Ovis aries: one gene and its partner. The main gene of each other region encodes a partner of the protein of the gene in region 2 in a complex. Links are inferred from orthologs where the notes say so. Each region holds a gene or a part of one and is shown on either strand. Other genes may lie near its edges.

Region 1 (5,036 bases), on a different chromosome or scaffold from region 2:
CATAATAAATTTCTTCATATGGATTTATTTGCTTGTAAACTATCTCCCCACTAGAGGATAATGCTATGAGTAGAGACCTTTTGTCTGTTTAGTTTGCTTCTGTATTCCCAGCATTGGGACTGTGTCTAGCAGATAGTAGGCGTTAAATAAATATTTGTGAACTATATAAAAAATTTTGCTTGTGTATATTTTCCCAAGGCCTAAGGCCGGTGACTACTTGTGCTTGTGTGCATATATCTTCATAGGTGCTCAGAATTTGTCCACATATATTATTTATTCTCACATGACCTATAGGAAGGGAAGGAGGGAACAGTTTAACTGTGATTCACATGCATTGGTGGAGTGGGAAAGTTTAGTTCTTAAGGTTATTAGTTTAATGTCCTGTGCTTTGCAGATAAGAGTGCCTCAAAGTGGGCTGCTGGGCTTACCTTCATGTACCTCATGAACACAGTATATCTTGAGGTCTTGTCTTTGAAGAATTTATTTATTTTATAAGGCTGTGCATTTTGCTACAAGACCTGGCCAGTAACAATATACTCAGTCAATATGAATTTTCAACATTTAAAATTCTTTCCAGACTGGAAAAAATACACTTAAATTTGTGGCTTGTGGGTTTGTAAGCACACATGTGGTAAGATGAAGGAATGGTTTCAGACATCCTTTGGAGCTTGTCTTCCAAACCCAGTAACCAATTTGTACTGATATACAAATAACCCTTTAGTGGCCTGTGAATGCTATTATGTGAGTAATTATTCCCTTCTTGACTTCCCCAATAATTTGTATTAGGTGTCTCAATGATAATTTATGATCAAGTAAGTATGATTTTTTACATTAAGATTTTCACAGGATGATGATACATAATAAACTTTTAAAGTAAATGCACTAATAATTCATGTCTTAAATAGTAATTCTATCACCAGTCACATGCCCAAATTACATTTTTATAATGTGTTTATTTGTGTACAAAATATGTTGTAATTTACTGATGTGTATGCAGCAAAATATTCTATCACGTACAACAAAAATACACTTTTTACCCTCTTCCCCTCCCCTTGAAAATGGCAACACTGTTTTGGCAGTTCAGCAGCTAAAAATAAAGTGCTATAATAAAGCAGTATTGGAATGTCTTCACTCAACAAATGTGATGTACAATTTGAGTATACAACCACATTTTTGTTAGTTTTTTTTCACAGAACAGGAAATTCCACCTCCTGAACACCTCCAGAAGATACAAATATTTGTATATATATGTACACATGTATACACTGTATATGTAAAGTGCCAACAAGCCTCTTTGTCTCTGTGAGTTTGTTGTGTTTATATTTATCCTGGCTTTCCAAAATCAGTCACACTATTGGGATCTCAGAGTTCATCAGCAGGCACCAAGAAGCTCACCAAAGGCTGGCTTGTTAGGGGTGTGGTGTTGGTTAGAGGGTGGAGGGGGCCATCAGACCTCACTGGGGGACCTGGAGCGGAAGGGCACTTTGGACTGGAAACAGCCGCAGAACAGGAGCCACAGGGCCCGTTGGATCTCCTGGTTGCGGAAGGCGTAGATGATAGGATTGATCATAGAGTTATAGGTTGCGGGCAGCAGGGTGGCGTAGGTGTAGACATCTGGGTCCTCGTGGCTACCTACCACGCAGTAGATGGCAAAGGGCAGCCAGCTGGCACCGAAAGTGCCCAGCACCACTGCCAGCGTTCCCACACCTTTTCTGGTGGCAGCAAGGTGGGGTGGCGCCAGGCAGTGCTGCTGCAGCGCGATCTGGTGTGCGTGCCGCCAGACCACCTGGCAGATGCGCACGTACAGGTGCAACATGATGCCGAAGACCGCAAAGAAGGTGGCAGAGAGCAGCGCCACATGGCTGCGCGTCAGCGGGCGCACCACGCTGCAGGCGGCGCGCTCCGCCAGGCAATTCCAGCCAAGCACCGGCAGCAGCCCGAGGCCTAAGGACACGGTCCAGGTGGCAGCAAGAAGGAGGTGCACGCCCAACAGGGTCCGTCGGGAGTAGTAGGTGAGTGCATTATAGAGGGACAGGTAGCGGTCCACCGTGATGGCCAGCAGGCTGCTGACTGAGGCAGCGAAAGAGGTCACAAGGAAGCCCACAGTGAGCAGGCTCACGGTCTCTGAGGGCACGACGTATTGGAATACGAAGTGCAGAATGAGACCGCAGCCCGCCAGCAGGTCGGCGGTGGCCAGGCTGCCCACCAGCACGAACATGGGCGTGCGCAGAGCAGGGGTAGACGCGATGAGCGCCACTACCAGGGCATTTTCGCCTGCGATCACCGTCCCAGACACGCAGAGCAGTACGTCCCATGGATTCACTGCCGAGAGCAGCAGCCCTGGCGGCCCCGCTGGCAGCTGCGAAGACAACTCCAGCGACGCATTAGCTGCGCCGCCGCCCCCCAGCGCCGCCGCCGCTGCGGCTGCCGGGTGCCCCCATTCACCGGTGTCCCGCGCTCCTGCTGCGGTGGCCGCTGCCGCCGCACCCTCGGCCGCCACTGCCACCACTTGGGAGTCGTTGAGCGCAGATACGCTCGCGTTCATCGCGGCGGGACGTTACACCCTGCGTGGAGAGGGAGAACAAGTGTCAGATGTGCGGTTCACCCCGCTAGGGTACTTCCCCGGGCGCTGCTGCCCTGCTCGTACTGCCCATCCCGCCTCAGAGCAGAGCGAGGAAGCAGTGATTGAGAGCCAAAAATAAATAAATACCTGTTGAGTGAGCCAGTGAGAGTGAAACGCACAAGGGATGCCGCACTGGTATCGGAGTTTTTGCACAGATAAACACACGAAGAACATGCACTCACATTCACACGGATCACGTAAGTGTGCCCATATTTGCAACCACATCTTGTGCACCAGGTTATTATTGTCGGCCCCAGCGAGTCCTGCCCGGGCTCTGACCCGCTCGGTCAGGCGCTCTCCTCAACTAAGCGGCGGAATCGCTGTCCGCGGTGCTGAAAGAGAAGTTTCTGCGCTCGGGGAGCACAGAGGACCCCTCTGGCTTCAGAGACTCCTAGGAAACGGGTTTTGGGGGAGAGAAGCTGGAATGTCTTTTTAGGTGGAGAGTGTGGAATCAGCTTGGCTCCATTTCTCCGGGTGAAAAGGATTCATCCCCTGGCCATCCTTCACCCCTTCCCCTCTGCACACCCTCAAAGTTCCTTTAGAGAGCCCGGTTGCTCACCTGGGGAGTCAGGGCTTCAGGAAATCGCTGATCATGAGCGCTGCGGTGGGGCGCCAGACTGGGCTCCCCGCGCGAACAGAGCCGACTCCTGAAGGAGGTGGCCCGCCCGGCACGCAGGGGAGTGTCGGGAGCTTGTCGCTGTGCGGGTGCTGCGGAGAGAGTGAGAGATACAGTCAGTAGAAGAAAAGGCGGCTAAGAGCAGCGCGCCCGCTGGAGATTGACAGGCAGGGCGCGGTGACGTCAGGTTCCTGGCTCTAGGGTGCAAGCCAGGCACTCGCTCTCCTTGCCCGCCCATCAGCTACTTCCCTCACCACATACCCTCCCCAAACGATGTTTCAGAGGATTCATAGAAGGAGAGGTCGGAAGGCCGCCGCCAGCTCGGAACCTCCAGGAATAGACGGGAGAAAGAGGCAAAGAAGAAAAGAGTGAAGACTAAGGGATAGCAAGGAGGGTGAAGTGGGAGGGGAGGGGTGGGGGATGAGCTGCACTGGCCAGGCAGCAAGACTCAAGGCCGGAGCTCACTGAGGGGGCCAGGTTGAAGAAAAACCCCGGAGAAGAGGGAGCTTGGTGCAGAGAGGTCCAATTAGAGAGGTGCTACCTTAAAAAAAAAAAAAAAAAAACAAACTTAGGGGACAGGAATGAACTGGTATGGAGGGGACAGTGAGGGTTTCTTAAAAGGATGTTTGTGGTACCCTTGTCACCTGAGTAGAGTTAGAGAAGAAAAGCTGAGTTGTGGGGAAGAGAGAAAAGATGGGACATTTGGGGAAAGCAATATCTTCTTTCAAAGGTTACCTGTGCAATCAATTATTCTCTCCCCCTCCATTTCTTCCTTTCTCTCACTACCTTTCTTGAACTCTGCACAGAGGGTTTCACCATGATCTCCCCAGCCACATGTTCCCCGATTGCACTAGCTGATAGTGCTCTTGGAACTTGCTCTTTAATTAAAGACCAGGTCTGTGTCTTGTTAGAAAAGAAGAAAACAGCAAAATGTGATTTACTTTCCTGGCAACAGACTTTGCCCTGTTAATTAGTACCCTATAAAACAAATTACAGGATGAAAATAGTGATAACTCAGCTGCACCAGACTTCAGTAGGCAGGAGTTTTATTTCCAACTTAGATAACTCATCCTTTTGGTTTAAAGGTGTTTTGTTTGGTCAGTAAAATACAAGTATTAGGCTTCTTTTTCTTTTTTTAATTAGCTAAAATCTCCAATACCTGTACTTGGGGGGAAAAGCTAGAATAGTTGACTCCACCTAAGGCTCTGGAATAAATGATTTCTTATTGACATGATGGCATTATATCAGAGCCACAGACGTGATTTTCAGGGGCCACGTGCTCTAGGCAAGGTGAAAATAGACATTTGTTGCTGGTGCTTCCTCTACTTTCCCCTATGTAACTTCTTCCCTCTCCTGGCTTCATTTTGCCTCCAGGCTGGATTGGAAGGTAGATTTTTATCCTGGCCTTCTCCGTTTAAATATGCCCCCTAAGTCCAGACTCATCTTGCCCTCCTATCTCAGTTCAGCTGTACTTAACTAGAAAAAGAAGAAAAACTAATAGGACCATTCAAATCTTTAGCTGCAGTAGCTAGTGTGGGTCCATAAAATGAATTTATACACAATTTCTCCATTGGGAGAGTTTATAAAATTCTTGTGAACTTGCAATTTGGCTGCAACTTGGTTCTAAGTTTCTGGAAGTGCCATTTTGAGTTTCAATAGAAGATTATCAAGAATGTTATTTCAGAGCTGTCAAGCAAACTGTCAAACCGCTGTAATCACATGTTAATCACAAATGTTCCAAACAATCAGATGAAAACCCAAGGGGAGGAGGATCTTTCTTAGGATCTGAATGTGTTA
Region 2 (5,192 bases):
GTCAGGAAGGTAGGTGCTTCCCTTTTTCCCCTCGAGCCGAGGTGGGGCTGGGACCGCCGGACCCAGCTTCTTCCCTCGCGAGGAGCACCTTTTTCGGCTCTAGCGGCCGATGCGCTTCGGAGCTGCTCTCTGCAGAGCCAGAGGGTGGGTCGGATTCGCCGAGTGTGCGTGAGGATGGATCGTAGATCCCGACCTCAGCTAGGGCGCCGAGCTCGCCACAATTACAACGATCTGTGCCCACCCATAGGCCGCCGGGCAGCCACAGCGCTCCTCTGGCTCTCCTGCTCCATCGCGCTCCTCCGCGCCCTTGCCACCTCCAGCACCCGCGCCCAGCAGCGCGCGGCTGCCCAGCGCCGGAGCTTCCTGAACGCCCACCACCGCTCTGCAGCCCAGGTATTCCCCGAGCCCCCTGAATCTGACCACGAGGACACAGACCTCGAGCCCTCCCTTCCCGAGTGCCCAGAGTACCAGGAAGAAGAGTTCGACTACGAATCCGAGACCGAGTCCGAGTCTGAAATCGAGTCCGAGACCGAATTCGAGACCGAGTCTGACACAGCCCCCACCACTGAGCCGGAGACCGAGCCCGAGGACGAGCGGGGCCCCGTGGTGCCCAAGCGCCCCACCTTCCACCAATCTCTCACCGAGCGTCTCAGCGCCCTGAGGCTGCGGAGCCCCGACGCCTCCCCGAGTCGTGCGCCGCCCAGTACTCAGGAGTCTGAGAGCCCCAGACAACGGGAAGAGCCCGAGGACAAGGATCCGAGGGACCCCGAAGAGTCTGAGGAGCCAAAGGAGGAGGAGAAGGAGCAGCAGCGTCGCTGCAAGCCGAAGAAGCCCACCCGCCGCGACCCATCCCCCGAGTCCCCTTCCAAAAGGGGGCCCATCCCCATCCGGCGTCACTAATGGAAGACGCGCCCCGGATTCTCCTTGTGTTCTTTGACCCAGGTTGGTTGCCCACTGCTAAACTGGGGAGTCTGGGGTCGGTGCAGGACCGGCGGGAGGAAGGGAGGGAGGAAAAGCAGGTTAGAGGGGAAGCGGGAAGAGAGCGGGCTCAGTGAGCCAGCCCGGGAGGGGCAGGGGCACAGAACCAACTGGGAAGGGCTCCCCAGATCTCCCCCAGGGTGCCGGTGGGCGCCTAGGTGGCCAAACGCTTGTTGGACGGTGGGGCGTCTTTGCGTTCCTCTGGAAACAGCCAGAGGTCTCCGAGCTGGCGTCCAGGACCCGCGCAACTGAATCCCGGGCGCACCCCAGGTTTCGAGCTGTACACCCAGAAGGCACGGGTAAGTCACTTATTTTATGCGCTTTTTCCCCTTCTAGAGAAACTAGTCTCAAACCAGTTGGCCACGGCGGGTGCCAAAAACGTGGCTCAGAAGTGCTCGCGCCAACTTTCGGAAAGCAGAGCCACCGCGCTGTAGCGACACTGTTGCAATGTGCGAAAAGTAACCTGGCAGGGATTGGGTGAGAACTCCGGAGACTTGCCCGCTCCCGGAAAGTCTCTCGCGCGCGCGGCGCTTAAGGCACTTGGAGCCTGGAGCCCAGGACCCTTTGCTGCCAATTTGCAGCCGCGGGGCCTCGGCGCCAGTGCCCCTCGCGGCTGTGCGCCAGTCCTGGCCGCCACCGCCCGTCCCCGGGTGCTTGGCGGGCCAGAGACCGCCGCAAAAAGCGTGCGCACCTGCCTGCGCGCCTCATAGCAGACCTCTCCGGGCCAGCCGGCGGTTCCCCACGAATCACCTGTGCTTGGAGGGCAAGCAGAGGAGGTACGGGAGTTTCGGGAGGTGCCCAACGGGCTACCAGGGTTGGGGGCACGGACGTGGTCGTGTCGCGGCATCGCCAACCTTTTGGCGCAGCTGGTCTGATGGTGAGGCTGGGTACATCTTGGCTAGAGAGGTCCCGGGCTTTTTGCGCAGCTGCCTGGGGATGTTAGATAGTAGCTAAAAGGTCAGCGAGGTGGTCGCGAGCGGAAAGGTAAAGCAGAACAAGGAACAGGCTGGAGACAGAGTCGCGCCTATCATCAGGGAACCCCACAACGCACCCCCAAAGAAAGCATAGCCAAAGAGCGCATTCCGAAAGAGCGCAGCACCCGGTGAGCTGGGGAAAGGTGTAGGAGCCGCCGCAAGTCCCAGGGCGATTAGTTGAGAGACGGAAGGGGCCGGAGGCTCCGGCAGCCTCGGGGAGGGGAGGGCTGGCAGCCCGCACCGGCCATTTTTGGCTCGGGTGGGGATAAGTTTGGAATCTGTAACCTGAAGGCAAAGCTGGAGCACAGAAACGGCCGCAATCCGGTAACGCATCTTCGGTGCGTAAAGTGTGCCTTTCTCGCCAACCCTGGGGGGAGAAACTGGTTAGTGAAAATGTATTTACAAAACCTCCCCCGATTTGGAAATTGATCTTTTTCTTGGTGCGCGGGCGTCTCGTTTCGTGCCGGTTTGAGCTATTCTGATGAGAAGGATTTGGGGGGAAAGTGAGGCGTTTGGAGACTTGAAAAGGCGGGTCGGGTTCTTAGACTCCTAAAATAAGGTTTCAGCCTATATTCAGAACATATCTTAAGGGGTCTTCCTTCCAGGTCTCCGCCCGGGGGAAGGCGTCGGGCCGCCCCAAAACTTCGCTCTGGTGGGCTGCGGCGCTGACTAATGGCTCTCGGATGCTGCTCTGGTCTTAACTAGTAAACAGCGGCGAGGGGGCTTCCTTGGGCAGCGGGGGAAGTGTCCAGAAGTCCGAAGGCTGCCTAGGACTTGGAGGCGGGTCCGGTGTGCCCTGTCTTTGGCTTGAAAGCGTTAAACTGCCTAGGTGAAATGGGGCTCCTCAAAGCTAACATTTCTACTTAGTGTAAAAACGGCGGCGCAGTGTTCCTATTGGAGGCATTGAACGTGCTGGCTTTTTCTCTGGTGATGTCTTGGCAGCCTGCGCTCACCCAGTTAAAGGTCTCTGGTGAATAGGCGGCTGCGGTCAGGATGCCCTTGGCTTTTCAATGTGGGGGCTGCCCTCCCAGGTTGGAGAGTCTAGGGGAACTGTTTTCCTGCAGAGCTGGGTTTTCCATTAGAGAAACATGTTGCTTTAGCATATAAAAGTTGAAAAAAAAGTCCTCAGTGCAACGCCCACACCTGTCACCCCAGTCTCGGGCTGTTTTTTAAACAGAAGCCTGCGCGGGAGAGGGTGGCTTTCTTAACTGTAGGCATTATACCAGGTTAGTTGAGGGGGCTGGGTGCCCCCTTCCAGGAACGCAGTGTTGGCCATCTTTCAGACACTCCTCCACGAACTACCGGATTGAGAAAACCTGTTACCCTCCCCCACTCAGTTCCCTTCCCCCACCCCCTCCCTCCTTCCATCCTGATTCCAGGGTAGAAGAGTCATTAGGAACATACAGAACACCTGAGGAACATACCAAACCCCTGTGGGGAGGACCCCCACCCCACGGAGAGGGGCTTTTGCTATACACAGGATTCAAAAAGCCCTCTTTCTACCTACAGCACTAGTGTTTACCTGCCTTTCTCTCCCAGAAGCGTTTCTGGCAACTTCTCCAAGCATTCCCCACTCTCTAGTCTCCCAACTAGCCCTTTGTCTCACCCTGCTGCCCTGAGGTATTAGCATTTGAATGGCCTTATTTGTCCTTGCAACTTAGGAAATGGGCTTCTAAAAAGCAACCCTTAGAGTTGACCACAGGGGTGAATTATCAGCCAGTTACGAGTTTCGACTGGAGAGGAAGAAAGGAAGAGGAGGGGAAAACTAGTCAATAAAGCTGGTTAAATGGTCTGCTCCAATATTCAGGATTTTTTGTTTTGCTACATTAATCATTTGCTTAATAAAAATGTGCTTTTTCTTGGACAAAAGTGTTCTTTTAACTGAACCTGAGTTGGAAAATCATGCATCAGTGTTCAAATACTGTGTGGTGTCAACAGTATGATGAAGATTTATTTCTAAGGTTTGGCAAACAAAACATTTAATCTGTTTATCAGAATTCAGGAATTGGGAATTTTAAAGTTTGGAATTAAGATAATGTCTGTTTAACGCACTAGAAACTTTTCCTCTGGAAATGCTATCACCCCTTTACTCTTTAGCCTCAGTTTTAGCAGCTGTGATAGAAGGTTTAATGAGGAAGAAAGCTGAAACTTCAAGGTTGATAAGGAATGAGCTTTTAAAAAAAAAGTGCATGGATTTTACTCAATTTTTCTATATTATCACTGCACTTCATGTAAAGGGAGGCTACAGAGAGGAAACTGAGCAAAAATCTTGGTGGCTGGGAAAGTATGTCTCTTAACAGAAAGGTGACGGATTACAAACAAATCACTAGAATCAAATCAAACTTCCAGAGTGATGTCATATGCCAACTCAAGGACTGCCCTTCCCTTAAAAATTGTCCAGCAAAGAGGCGAGGAGATTCTCAAATTACATCTTTAATCCTGTTTTAGAATGAGGGCTGGAATTCCTCATCTTGTTCTTCGGGTTTGCCATTAATGTCGCTGTTTTCTAAATTCTGATGCCCCAGAGCTGGATAGCTGGGTCTAAGACCTCAGGCTCATTGCCCACCCCTGCCTGCGGCCTGAGGTCAGGCCCAGCGGTCTCTGCCTCAGTTTCTTCATATGGAACATGAAGGAGCTGAAGAGCAGGTCCTAGCATCCCTTTCTGTTCCCAGTACCTCCAGGGTGACTAAGTAAAGCAAATTTGACTCAGATCAATGATTTTAATGCTAAAGGAGCCTCCCTCCCCCCAAAATGAAAGGTTGATAAAATAAAAACACCAATTGTGAAGAAATCTTTCTGTTTTGTGTTTGTCTAATTTGAGTTTCTCAAATCTGATTTTGCATTGGGGGCAAAAATGGTGCAAAAGTCAGGAAAAAAAAAAAATCCATAAATAGGATTTAGAGAATTCAGGCAGACAGGTTAGAGAATTCAAAATTCCACCACAACCTCTTACTAGCAAGGATGGGGGAGTGGGGTGGGTGAATAGCCTTCTGAAGAGCAGCTGTTAAGCTTAAGAGTTACTGCTTGTTTTAGGTGTGCTGTTTGCTCATCTGCCCTCCTTCATCGCAGGGTCAGAAGACAGGCTTTTCAGGGTGGGGGCTGGCAGCCTGGAGATGCTCGCTGTTTGGGGAGAGAGCAGACAAATGCTCCCAACCTCAAACTGACCACAAGTGCTGAGTATATGTTCTAGTAACACTTACAAGTGCCCTGATGAGGACTGACCTGAAAAATTGGCTCAGA

The links.
Region 1: the proteins of GNAS (region 2) and GPR6 are in contact, whole or in part, in a cryo-EM structure (PDB 8TYW), measured with the Homo sapiens proteins. The link is inferred for Ovis aries from reciprocal best matches to the Homo sapiens genes GNAS and GPR6. Residues at the interface, in NP_000507.1 of Homo sapiens: Gln35, Arg38, His41, Val217, Phe219, Asp323, Asp343, Leu346, Ser349, Thr350, Arg356, Tyr358, Cys359, Phe376, Arg380, Asp381, Ile383, Gln384, Arg385, His387, Leu388, Gln390, Tyr391, Glu392, Leu393, Leu394; in NP_005275.1 of Homo sapiens: Met107, Asp165, Arg166, Ser169, Leu170, Ala173, Leu174, Thr175, Tyr176, Tyr177, Leu182, Ile248, Val252, Arg254, His255, Ala256, Gln258, Ile259, Leu261, Gln262, Gln263, His264, Lys276, Gly277, Thr280, Leu281, Arg332, Asn333, Gln334, Glu335.

The regions. Positions count from the first base shown.
Region 1 is NC_056061.1:27,519,997-27,525,032, forward strand, and holds GPR6 (G-protein coupled receptor 6), read right to left. Parts: upstream 3,345-5,036; 5' UTR 3,183-3,344; intron 2,565-3,182; 5' UTR 2,546-2,564; coding exon 1,448-2,545; 3' UTR 968-1,447; downstream 1-967. UniProt on the Homo sapiens protein: Orphan receptor with constitutive G(s) signaling activity that activate cyclic AMP. Promotes neurite outgrowth and blocks myelin inhibition in neurons.
Region 2 is NC_056066.1:57,214,157-57,219,348, reverse strand, and holds the start of GNAS (guanine nucleotide-binding protein G(s) subunit alpha isoforms XLas), read left to right. Parts: upstream 1-1,684; 5' UTR 1,685-5,192. Other genes in the region: neuroendocrine secretory protein 55, read left to right, coding at 175-900. UniProt on the Homo sapiens protein: Guanine nucleotide-binding proteins (G proteins) function as transducers in numerous signaling pathways controlled by G protein-coupled receptors (GPCRs).